Linked DNA regions of Macaca fascicularis. The protein of the gene in region 1 interacts with the protein of each later gene in a pairwise test. Links are inferred from orthologs where the notes say so. Each region holds a gene or a part of one and is shown in the gene's direction. Other genes may lie near its edges.

Region 1 (4,152 bases):
CCCTCCCACCCCCATCCACGTTGAATCAGGCTCCGCTTCCATTTCCAACCCAAGGAAGCCCCAGGTGCCTGGACGTGATGCCACTGACTTTTGCATTGGGGGTTAGAGAGAAGTGAGCTGCTCTGTGTGACTGGCACCTTGGGATTGGCAGAGGGAAGCGGGCCAGGCCCTGTGAGGAGTCAAGGTGTGACGCTGAGGGAGGACTCAGGAGGCCCCCACCCCAGATAGACGACCCCAGATAATCCCGGACCACTCCTGTTGCCAGCCCTGGGCCACCTGTGGGCAGACTTCTGAGTCTGGGGCACCCACCACCTCACTGCCTCTGAAGTCGAAGGGCACTCTGGAATCAGAGTATGGTGTGATCAATGCAAGATGGGCGGGGGAAAGGTTGGCCAGGCACCAACCTCACAACCAAAAGAGAGGGCTGAATGTCCCCCAACCCTATTCCCCTTCCCCACCCCCATTCCCACCCCCACCCTGTTCGCATTCGAACTCCTAAAAACCATCCACAATCCCATCCCCCACTAGCCCAGGTATATTCCCCAACACCCCACCACCTTCATACCACCGTCTCCCACCCCAAAATTCCCACCCCCTCCACCGTCACCCCTCCCTCCCCCATCCATGCTGATTCGGGTTCCGCTTCTGCTTTTAACCCAGGAAAGCCCCAGGTGCCCGGATGTGAGGCCACTGACTTGCACACTGGGGGTTAGAGAGAAGCGAGCTTCTCTGACCGGCACTTTGGGATTGGCAAGGGAAGGGGGCCAGGTCCTGTGAGGAGTGAAGATGAGATGCTGAGGGAGGACTCAGGAGTCCCCATCCGAGATAGACGACCCCAAATAGTCCCAGACCACTCCTGCTGCCAGCCCTGGGCCACCCATGGGCGGACTTCTGAGTCTGGGGCACCCACCACCCCACTGCCTCTGAAGTTTCAGGGGACTCGAGTCAGAGCTTGGGGTGATCAGTGCAAGACTAGTGAAGGCAGGCTCTGCCGGGCATCAACCTCAGGAGCATGAGAGAAGGCTGAGCTTACCGCACCCCTATTCCCATCCCCCACCTCCATTCCCATCCCCCCCCGTTTCCATTCCCATTCACAACCCTCCATCCCCCATCCCCCACCAGCAACCCTATCCTCCCCAACCCCCCACCACCCTCATACCACCATCTCCCACACAAAAATACCCGCTCCCTCCACCAACGTCACCCCTCCCACTCCCATCCACGCTTCCACTTTCAACCCAAGGAAGTCCCAGGTGCCCGGATGTGATGCCACTGACTTGCGCATTGGGGGTTAGAGAGAAGCTTCTTTGTCTGACCGGTACCTTGGGACTGGTGGGGGGAAGCGGGCCAGGCCCTGTGAGGAGTCAAGGTGAGATGCTGAGGGAGGACTCAGGAGGCCCCCACCCCAGATAGGCGACCCCAAATAATCCTGGACCACTCCTGCTGCCAGCCCTGGACCACCCGTGGGTGGACTTCTGAGTGTGGGGCACCCACCACGCCACTGCCTCTGAAGTCGCTGGGGACTCTGGAGTCACAGCTTGGGGTGATCAGTGCAAGACTGGTTAGGGCAGGCTCTGCCGGGCATCAACCTCAGGACCATAAGAGAGGGCTGAGCTTATCCCACCCCTATTCCTATCCCCCACCCCCTTCCCATCCCTCACGCTGTTCCCTTTCCCATTCCCATTCGCACTCCCAAACCCATCCACACTCCCATCCCTCTGCAGCACCCCATCCATCCTCCCCAATCCACCACCATCCTCATACCGCCGTCTCCCACCCCAAAAAGCCTGCCCCCTCCACCATCCTCATCCCTCCCACTGCCATCCACGCTGAATCGGGTTCTGCTTCCGCTTTCAACCCCAGGACGCCCCAGGTGCCCGGATGTGAGCCAATGACTTGCGCGTTGGGGGTCAGAGAGAAGCGAGCTTCTCTGTCTGACAGGGAGCTTGGGATTGGCGGAGGGAAGCGGGCCAGGCCCTTTGAGGAGTGAAGGTGAGATGCTGAGGGAGGACTTAGGAGGCCCCCACCCCAGATAAACGACCCCAAATAATCCCGCACCATTCCTGCTGCCAGCCCTGGGCCACCCGTGGGCAGACTTCTGAGTCTGGGTCACCCGCCACTCCACTGCCTCTGAAGTCACAGGCGACTCTCGAGTCAGAGCTTGGGGGGATCTGTGCAAGACTGGTGAGGGCAGGCTCTGCCAGGCGTCAACCTCAGGACTGTAAGAGAGGGCTGAGGGTCCCCCACCCCGTTCCCATTTTCATCCACACTCCCAACCCCATCTACACCCCCATTCCCCACCAGTACTCCTATCCTCCCCAAACTCCCACCACCCTGATATCCCCACCCCCAAACCTCTACCCCTATCCAGGCTGAATCACTGCCCTCATATCCCCACCCCAAAACCTCTACTCCCATCCAGGCTGAATCGGGTTCCAGTTCCACTTTCAACCCAGGGAAGCCCCAGGTGCCCGGATGTGATGCCAGTGACTTGCGCATTGGGGGTTAGAGAGAAGCTAGCTTCTTGGTCTGACAGGCAGCTTGGGCTTGGCAGAGGGAAGCCGGCCCAGGCTCTCTGAGGTGGCAAGGTGAGAAGCTGAGGGAGGACTCGGGAGACCCTCCCCACTGCAGATGGATGACCCCAAATAATCTAGCACCACTCCTGCTTTCAGCCCTGGGTCACTCGTGGGCGGACATCTGAGTCTGGGGCCCACCACTCCACTGCCGCTTAAGCCGCAGGGGACTGTTCAGTCAGAGCTTGGTGTAATCAGTGCAAGACTGGTGGGGACAGGCTTTGCTAACCTTCAACATCAGGACCCTAGGAGAGGGTGGAGCGTCCCCCACCCCATTCCTATCCCCTACCCTGTTCCCATTCCCATCCGCACTCCCAACCCCATCTGTACCCCCATCCCCCACCTGTGCCCCTATGCTCCCCAACACCCCCCACCAGCCTCATGCCCCCCACCTTCATCCCCATCCGTGCAGAATCTGGTTACACCCCTGCTTTCAATCCAGGCAAGCCCTGGGTGGCCGGATGTGATGCCACTGACTTGTGCATTGGGGATTAGAGGGAAGCGAGGTTCTGGTTCTGAAGAACGGCTTGAGATTGTCAGACAGAAGGGGGCCCAGGCTTTGTGAGCAGGCAGTCAGACTCTGAGGGAGGATTCAGGACACCCTTATCCCTGATAGAAGGTCCCAGCCCTGGACCATCGCGGAGGCTGACTTCTCAGGCTAGGCCGCCGCCTCCAGCTTCCCACCCCACCACCACCTGTCCCCACACCCGGTCCCCACAGGAGACTCTGGAGTCAGAGCGTGGTGTGACCATGGAAGGGATGCTTAGGAGAGGGCACTATCTGGGCTCTGCCAGGCATCAAGGTCAGGAATCTCAGGGAGGGCTGAGGGCCTCCAAGAGTCCACTGCAATCCCCACTCTCATGACCCACCCCCACTTCATTGCCATTCCCACCCCTATCCACCACTCCTATACCTCAACCCAGATCTCCTTCCGCTCTGCCTTTCCACCCACACCCCTCCCACCGGAACCCCCACCCTGGCAGAATACAGTTCAGCCCCTGCTGTCAATCCAGGAAAGTCCCTGGTACCCGAATGTGACGCCACTGACTTGCTCATTGGGAGTTAGAGAGAAGCAAGGTTCTCCTTAGGGGGAGCTTGACATCAGCAGAGAGAAGTGAGCCCAGGCTCTGAGGAGGCAAGGTGAGAGGCTGAGGGAGGTCTCAGAAGGGCCCCCCCCCAGATAGAGGGCCCCAATTAATCCAGCACCATCCCTACTGCCAGCCCTGGACCACCCAGGAGGCCGACTTCTCAGGCTGGGCTGCTCCCCACCACCGCCCCTGTTGCAACCCGTTTGTTTAAGCCACAGGAGACTCTGGAGTCAGAGGTTGGTGTGATCAGGGCAGGGCTGGTTAGGAGAGGGCATGGCCCAGGATCTGCCAGGAATCAAAGTCAGAAACCTGAGAGGGAACTGAGGTCCCCCAAGATCCCACTCTAACCCCCATTCCCACAAATCCCCTACCACTTCGCTGCCCCATTTCCCATTCCTTGCCCTCCAACCTCACCAGGCAGAATCCAGTTCCCCTTCTGCTATCAATCCAGGGAAACCCCAGACTTGGTGCTGGGACGTTTTGGGGGTCAG
Region 2 (3,941 bases), on another chromosome or scaffold:
CGAAGTCGAACAGGTGGATCTAGAGGTTGACCACCACGGTCAGGAAAGCAGCTGTCTACTGAAAAGCAAACTCTAATTCCTTAAGATTAACGAGTTAATCTTTAAGATTAATTAATCTTAACGAATTAATCCTTAAGATTAACCCCTGCACCACCAAGTGGGGGAGTGCAGCCCCCTCTCTCCGCCTCATGGATTCAGCTCGGAGGTGCAGGGGTTTGGTGGGGGGCGGTTAGGGAATGACAGCTGCCCCGTGGAGGACGCCCAGGGCTGGGTCACGAGCTGGCATGAGTCAGTCTTATTTTGTAAGTCCTAGTTATCAGGCTGCCAGTCTCGCGCCGTGCCCAGTCTCACTCAGCCTTCAGTCTTCCGGCCGGGACCCCGCTGGGCGCTCCGGAGGGATCGGCGCCACCGCGAGGCCGGAGAGGAGGCTGCAAGGGGCGCCCGGCCGGCCTGCGAAAGTGGTGGGAGCCAGGCGGGGCACACAGCCTCCCCTCCCCAGGCGGGACTCTCCCCGCCCCCCGGGCTCAGGGCTTGGGGTGGTGAGATGGGTGGCTGGGTGATCCGACGCCGCCAGCCCACCGCGTCCCCAAGAGCCGGGGTCTCGGGCTCAGCTAAACGCCCCAGAGTCACACAAGCGCCCCATACACGTCTGCTGAGTGAACGAAGGCTGCCCATCCACCAGGGGACTGCTCGGCCCTCCCACGCCATGTCCAGGTCGCATTCGGCCAGCGGGACTTCCCTTAACGCTCGGCCGGGGTCCCCAGGCTCGCGCCCCTGACAGCAGCCGAACTGTTTATTTCCGTCCGGCTGAAGAGGCGGGGTGGAGATGGCACAAGCCGATTGGTTATGTAAATTGTGGAGCCAATTTCGGCCTATGAGCCAGGAGACTACAAGTTCCAGAATGCATCCTTCCTCCAGCACAGGGAGAGGCCGAGGCTGCGGGAGCGTTGCCTGCTGGGAATTGTAGTCTTCATCTTGTTTGTTACGCAGGCGGAACTGGGGGGAGGGAGTAAACTATTACCACGTGACGTTCGGGTCAGGTGGTTGGGCCAGCCTCCGCGCTCGAGCTGTGACTGGCTGACTCTAATAAGAAGACGCCACTAGGGGCGGGGCGAAGAGGGGCGCAAGCTCACTGCGTTTTGAGTCTCAGGACCCCTGTCGGAGAGACTATGGCGCTCAACAAGAATCACTCGGAGGGCGGCGGAGTGATCGTCAACAACACCGAGAGGTGAAAACACTGCGGAAGGATCCTAGAGGACCAAAGTTCGGGTGTCGAGGAAGTGGGGGGTGGGCGATGGGCGGTGGGGAATAAGCCCCTGAAGGGGGAGCATTGATGGAGTATGGTTGGGGGGGGAATGGCTGGGGGCGGGGTTGGAGGAAGGTGGGTGGGCCGTGGGGGAGGGCCCGGGAGGTTGTGATCAGCTGGGAGGTGGGAGTGGGACGTCTGCTTGGGGACCTGGCATGGGGCGACCGGTGGGGCCTAGGGGTGATTCTTGAACCCGTTCCCAGAGTTTTGACTTCAGTAACTGGGAGGAGCCCCAAACAAAAATAATTGTCACTTACTGGATGTCTACAACGTTACTACGTGTCAGGCTCTGCGGCTTTTCTACCTTATTTAATAAATTCTGTGCAGTACAATCTACTACTGTCCACGTTTCACAGGTAGGGAAAGTGGGGGGCAGAAAGGTTAAGTAACTTGCTCGAGATTGCAACTCTGTAAGTAACAGAGATGGAATTCCAGGAAAGGAGTCTTGACTCCAAAGTTAATAGGATTAACCACCAGCATACAGGCTTCCAGTATGTTCCAGAACTGTTCAGGTTCCAGGTAAGAAACTGAGGTCCCAGGAGTGAAATTAAACAGATGACGTTTGTCAGATGTCTGACAGTTCCTGGCACTGTGTGGATCCGTAAAGTCATTCCCTTGCCTCTCTCTTGAATGCCTGTTGGTTTGAGTCTCCTCCGAAGGCACAGGTCTCCTAATTCAAGGTTCTTTCCACTCCACCCTCCCCACCCCTTGCTCATTGCATCCTGTCTCTCCTCCAGTCTCTGCCAAGAGAAGCCCTGAATGGCCTCTCTCTCCTTTTGTTCCGTGGGTATTGAAAATCAGACCAGCCAGCTCTGGGTTGAACTATGCCTACCCTGAATTGCCTCTTGAAGGCAGAAGGAGCTTAGGAGGCACCTGAGTCCCCAAAGGAGACATTGTGGAGTCAGAGCCCTGTACCCAGCTAAGGCCAGCATCCAGTTGCCCTGTGACTTGGGAATGTTATGATGAGTCAGAGGAAAATGCCTAGAGTGACCCAGCAGGCTCACTTTCCCTCTATCTTACCTACTCAGAGTCTGATGGGTAATTCCTTCTTTTCTCTGAGCGGTACTTCTCTTTTTTTTTTTGAGATGGAGGCTTGCTCTGTCACCCAGGCTGGAGTGCAGTGGCACGATCTCAGTTCACTGCAGTTCACGATCTCAGTTCACTCAGTTCACCGCCTCCTGGGTTCAAGCAATTATCCTGCCTCAGCCTCCCCGGTAACTGGGATTACAGGCAGTTGCCACTACACCCAGCTAATTTTTTGTATTTTTACTAGAAACAGGAGTTCACCATGTTGGCCAGGCTGGTCTCAAACTCCTGACCTCGTGATCCGCCCTCCTTGGCCTCCAAAAGTATTGGGATTACAGGAATGAGTCACCGTGCCCGACCACTTCTCTTTTCTTAGACCAGTTGTTTCCCACTTACCTTTCCCCAGTCTGAGAAAGTTGTGATATCTGGGGGGAGGCAGAAGACAAACAGAACCGTGTGAACCTTTTTATCATGTGATCAGAGACACCTCACACTGTCTTGTTGCATCTCTGTGTGTGAGTCAGTTCCCAGGCCTGGCCAGCTTTTCATGCCATTTGGCAACATCTCTGGGGACTGTTTTTCTTTCTGTCTCTGTGGAACTTCCTGAGACAAGAATGTATCTATCCTGCTGGGCCTTCTACCTGGCTTAGGGCTCAGGCCTGCTAAGTAAGGTGTGCCTTGTTTTAGAAAGTGCTTCAGCCTCCTGTCTGAATAAGTTGTGTCTGTAACAATTGAAGTATAAGTCCAGTGTTCAAAATTTGATAATTAGGCTGAGCATGGTGGCTCATGCCTGTAATCCTAGCACTTTGGGTGGCCGAGGTAGGTAGATCACTTGAGGTCAGGAGTTTGAAACCCACCTGACCAACATGGTGAAACCCCGTCTCTACTAAATACAAAAAATCAGCCGGGCGTGGTGACGCATGCCTGTAACCCCAGCTATGTGGGAGACTGAGGCAGGAGAATTGCTTGAACCCAGGAGGTAGAGGTTGCAGTAAGCCGAGATCATGCCGCAGCACTCCAGCCTGGGCAACAAGAGTGAAACTCCGTCTCATAAAAAAGAAAAAAAAAAGATAATTAAACTAGTGAACGTTACTCTTCAAGTCGTGAACTCCTTTGAGAATAATGGAAGCTGTGGACTCTCCGCTCAGAAAAATGCACATATGACGTACATGATCATCTCAAGGGCTTCATGGACTTTCCTGCCAACCCAGCTGAAGAACCCAGGTTTGAAAGAACCTTGAAGGAGGTCCTATTGTGATCTGTACAGTCATCTCTTAGATATGTTTATATGTTAGGGTTGAAAAACAAACCAGCAAAAACAGAGCATCTGTCAAAAGGACTTAAAAGAGAATAGAAAAGTTAAGCCAGATCACCTCACCTACTTGAGGGATGGCGGCCTCTCTAGAGCCCTGTAACTCTGCTACCACGTTGATCATTTGGGGGCTGTGTAAGCGGGGTTTGGGAAATTTTACAGAACTCCAACGTGCTCGTTTCTTCCATGGCTGCATTAATGGGGTTTTTTGTTGGTGGTGGTGGTGGTTTTTAGTTTTTTTGTAGAGACGGGGTCTCGCCACGTTACCCAGGCTGGTCTCAAACTCCTGGGCTCAAG
Region 3 (3,967 bases), on another chromosome or scaffold:
TAGATGTAGATCTTCAGCTGGAGAAACCCAAGGCCTGAAAGGCTTGGTGTCTTTCCTGGATTAGTAGTGTAGCATATGGCCCTAGAATTAAGGAGCCCTAAGTTTGCGTCTGGATTTTCAGATTCTGGAAGAAGAACCTGGACTCTTCTAGTCATGTCCTCTTGGACAAGTTATTCAACCTTTCTGAGCTTCAGCTTTCTCCTATCTACAATGAGATAATGACAGTACTTTTAGAATTAAATGACAGTGTAGGGGAGTGAGAGATCACGCCTTTGCTCTTATGTGGGCTCTTTGGTTGGATCTAGGAACCAAATTGACACAAGGCAGATTAACAAGAGAAAAGCATACTAATTTTACTAGTTTTACATGTGCATGGGGATCCTCACAAGAAAGTGAAGTGGCCAATGTAAGATGCCTTTATACTTTTTACACGAACTACAAATCAGAAGAAACGGGATCTGGCTAGGGGCAGTGAATTTCTTGCGGAGTCATTAGGAGAAACGTGGGTGTGGTGGGGTGTAAACTTAGTGGAAGATAAGGGTTATTTCGGAAAGTATATTCAGGTCCAAAGCAGCTCCCAGTTTCCAGTCTCTGGTGATGGGTGCTATTTTCTCCCTCTGGTAAGGGACGGGTACTCCGGAGGAATCCTGGAGGAAACTTTACGGCTTGCTGCATGCAGGAAGAGATGGGTCATCAAACCCTTTCTGAAACTACAATTTCTCCAACATTTTCAACTCGAAATAATCAGTGTACCAATTCCATATATTTTTGGGATGGCGCATCCATCAGTCCTTCAATACAAAATAAAACGATGCCCTTAAAACATTTAGCTTCCTGCCTGGCACAAAGAGCTGAATTCATACTGCCCACGCTCTCATAGCTATTAACAGCAAGTAACAGAACCCAGCTTTAAGCCTCGGTCTCCTAATTCCTGACCTGTGTTCTTCCCATCACATCACAACCAATACTTCTTGGAATATAGCACGCAAAACGCCCCGCCTACTCCATTGGCCTCACCCTGGCCGAGAAGTGCACACGCAAGAGCTCAACGACAGCCGTCAGAACTGCGCCTGCGCAAGCGGCGTTTCTCGGTTCGCGCTGTGGCGTAACGCGCCTGCGGACTGGGCCCAGCGTGTCCTCTATGACTTACCCAGAAGGCAACGTTTCATTTTCTGGTCAAAATGGCTGGCAAGCAGGCGGGTAAGTGACTGGGGAGTCTTCTTGGCGGGCATCGTCGCGCTCCACCGTTTATTTTCGCTGCAGCTCACTCCGTTTTCTCTCTTCTTTGTAAGTCACCAAGTTTGTCGCGGAAGGGAAAGTGGCGGCTTCAGTCCAGCCAAAAGGACGTGCTTCCCCACTCGTTTGTTGTTCCCAGGCCGGGCTTGCCTATATAGGGTTGGGGTGTTAACCCGCTGTTTGTGAAGGTGCCCGCGGTGGCTCTAACAGCCCTGGAGTTCCAGCTGCCTGTGCTCGGAAGTCCTTCCCCTCGGCCTTAGAAAAGTTAAAGGTCACAAGAAGATAACTAGTGGATGACTTTCAACCAGAATGAGCTCAGTGCTTTCTTCTATGACCCAGGTGCTCTATCGTGTGCATTGGCCCTATAAATTCTCCTGCCAGTGCCACGAGGGAGATACTAATTTCCCGTTTACGCTGATAAGACAACTGAGGCAAAGTGACCCAAGGAAGTAGAATTGGAAATTTCATTGCACCCCTCGCGCTTCTCAAACTGTGAATCAGAGACAGTCTAGCAAGGGATACGAGCGACGCTTCACATTAACCTTGGATTATCTAGAACGTCAGCTTGATCAGTAGGTTTGGAGAAATTTGAATTTATTGTAGGTTCAAACAAATTTATTGTGGAATAGAATGCAGATATTACTGGAATATTTAAAACAACTTGAACATTAAGTTGGGTTTCCTTGTTTTTTTGTTTTGTTTTGTTTTTTTGCTAATCTCTGCCCTCTGGCGGTACAAGTTGGAGTATCTTTTTTTTTTTTTTTTTTTTTTTTCTTTTGAGAAGGAGTCTTGCTTTGTCGCCCAGGCTGGAGTGCAGTGGCACAATCTCGTCTCACTGCAATGCAACCAAGTTGGAGTAGCTTTTAAAAAATATTGATCCTTTTCTCCCTGACCCCAGCAATTGTGAAGCTGTTAGGAAACATCAGGTTGCCAGAAACATCCGCTAACCTAATTGACATTGAGCTTTTTGGGGGTGGGGGAGACTTTTTAAATAATTATTTTATTAATTTAGCAGATATTGAAGGAGTCTTACTAAATTCAAGACACTGATTCTGTGCGTGTTTGGGATCTACATAGACCAGATCTCAACTCCCATTAGCTAACTGACCTTGGGTGGGATCACTTCTGTAAGTCTGCTTCCCTTGCTGTAGTAAGAGGCATGTAAATAAATCAGCTAATGTTGGTAAAGCAAATAGGAAAGTGTTTGGTGCACAATAAGTGTTTAGTGAATATTATTCTAGTCACTGATAGGTGGTTAAAAATAATCTGTCTTCCACAAGTATGTTTGTAGATTGTTGACTGATACTTGTTTTTCTAGCAGCAGTTTTATACATGACTTCATTTCCAAGGAGATGTGCTGAAGCCACGTAATCTGTAGTGCACTGAGTTTGCAGGCAAGGAGGGCTGAGTGAAAGGAGAGTTTGCTTTCCTTCCTTGGTAAGGGGCTAACGCTAGACAAAATTTTAAAAGAAAATGTAAACTTGTTCTACCTCCCCTTTTGTAAAACGTCTCTCCTAAAATGTCAGGTACGGTCCTGCTGTACTTGGACCCTGCTGGGTTACTTCATCAGACTCAGCCCTGTTCCCCAAAGAATTTTATTTTGTTTTTTTTGTTTGTTTGTTTGTTTGTTTTTGAGACGGAGTCTGGCTCTGTCCCCCAGGCTGGAGTGCAGTGGCCGGATCTCAGCTCACTGCAAGCCCCGCCTCCCGGGTTCACGCCATTCTCCTGCCTCAGCCTCCCGAGTAGCTGGGACTACAGGCGCCCGCCACCTCGCCCGGCTAATTTTTTTTGTATTTTAGTAGAGACAGGGTTTCACTGTGTTAGCCAGGATGGTCTCGATCTCCTGAACTCGTGATCCGCCCGTCTCGGCCTCCCAAAGTGCTGGGATTACAGGCTTGAGCCACCGCGCCCGGCAAGAATTTTAAAATTACCCATTTCTCATCCGTTTTCAATACCTATTCCCTTGGGGGGAACTTAGTTGCTTAGGAGGAGGTAAATGGACTTCTTTTACTAATCCACATTAATGTTTAAATGACTAATGGTATCAAAATCCTCCCCAAAATACATATATTTTTAAAGAATGTAGCCAAATGAAATAACTGTAATGTCGAGTAAAATTTTTACAGGATGAGGGTCATTTAGACCTGCCAGCCTATGCTGAAATCTCACTCTCTTTTCATACAACTCCAGCTCCTTTGAAATGAAAAGTTTACAATTATTTCCTGTGATCTATTTATGAAACTACAAATGATAGAAATTTCCAAGTCCTTTTCCTATCTCTCACCCCTTCATTTCTGAAGGTAACAGGGCAGGCATAAGGGCACACGATGTACCTATGGATCTTTTGTACATTCAGTGTTTGAGTTTACCCTCTTCTTCCATGACTTGCCACCATTTTCCTGCAGCCACTTTTGCTCATAAATAAAATAAGCAATTTTTATCAACAGTTTATAAACTTTTTTCTTTTAAATCTAATTCTTTTTTGATTAAATTCTTGCTGTATATAGTATATACTTTTAAAAGGAAATTTCTTTCTATGTTTGCATTCATCAGCAAGATAACTGAGTACTGGTTGCTTGCCCATCAGTGTGTTCATATAGTATAATTGTAGCAACTAACAGTGTGACAATGATCAGTTTCAGCATCAGGCAAGTGGCTGGATGGTATTCGAAAATGGTATTACAATGCTGCAGGATTCAATAAACTGGGTAAGCATCTGTGCTTTTTAATT

Evidence for each region. The genes of interacting proteins can lie anywhere in the genome.
Region 2: the proteins of MAGEA4 (region 1) and WBP2 interact in a two-hybrid assay, tested with the Homo sapiens proteins (2 studies listed by BioGRID). The two-hybrid records come from large-scale screens. The link is inferred for Macaca fascicularis from reciprocal best matches to the Homo sapiens genes MAGEA4 and WBP2.
Region 3: the proteins of MAGEA4 (region 1) and UQCRB interact in binary tests that used the Homo sapiens proteins (3 or more experiments, as listed by UniProt). The two-hybrid records come from large-scale screens. The link is inferred for Macaca fascicularis from reciprocal best matches to the Homo sapiens genes MAGEA4 and UQCRB.

The regions. Positions count from the first base shown.
Region 1 is NC_088395.1:157,991,069-157,995,220, forward strand, and holds the start of MAGEA4 (melanoma-associated antigen 4), read left to right. Parts: upstream 1-1,352; 5' UTR 1,353-1,369; intron 1,370-1,973; exon of another isoform or gene 1,974-1,992; intron 1,993-4,152. UniProt on the Homo sapiens protein: Regulates cell proliferation through the inhibition of cell cycle arrest at the G1 phase. Also negatively regulates p53-mediated apoptosis.
Region 2 is NC_088390.1:82,265,275-82,269,215, reverse strand, and holds the start of WBP2 (WW domain-binding protein 2), read left to right. Parts: upstream 1-1,141; 5' UTR 1,142-1,169; coding exon 1,170-1,228; intron 1,229-3,941. UniProt on the Homo sapiens protein: Acts as a transcriptional coactivator of estrogen and progesterone receptors (ESR1 and PGR) upon hormone activation. In presence of estrogen, binds to ESR1-responsive promoters. Synergizes with YAP1 to enhance PGR activity.
Region 3 is NC_088382.1:105,905,397-105,909,363, reverse strand, and holds the start of UQCRB (cytochrome b-c1 complex subunit 7), read left to right. Parts: upstream 1-1,167; 5' UTR 1,168-1,181; coding exon 1,182-1,200; exon of another isoform or gene 1,201-1,287; intron 1,288-2,554; exon of another isoform or gene 2,555-2,673; intron 2,674-3,872; coding exon 3,873-3,944; intron 3,945-3,967. UniProt on the Homo sapiens protein: Component of the ubiquinol-cytochrome c oxidoreductase, a multisubunit transmembrane complex that is part of the mitochondrial electron transport chain which drives oxidative phosphorylation.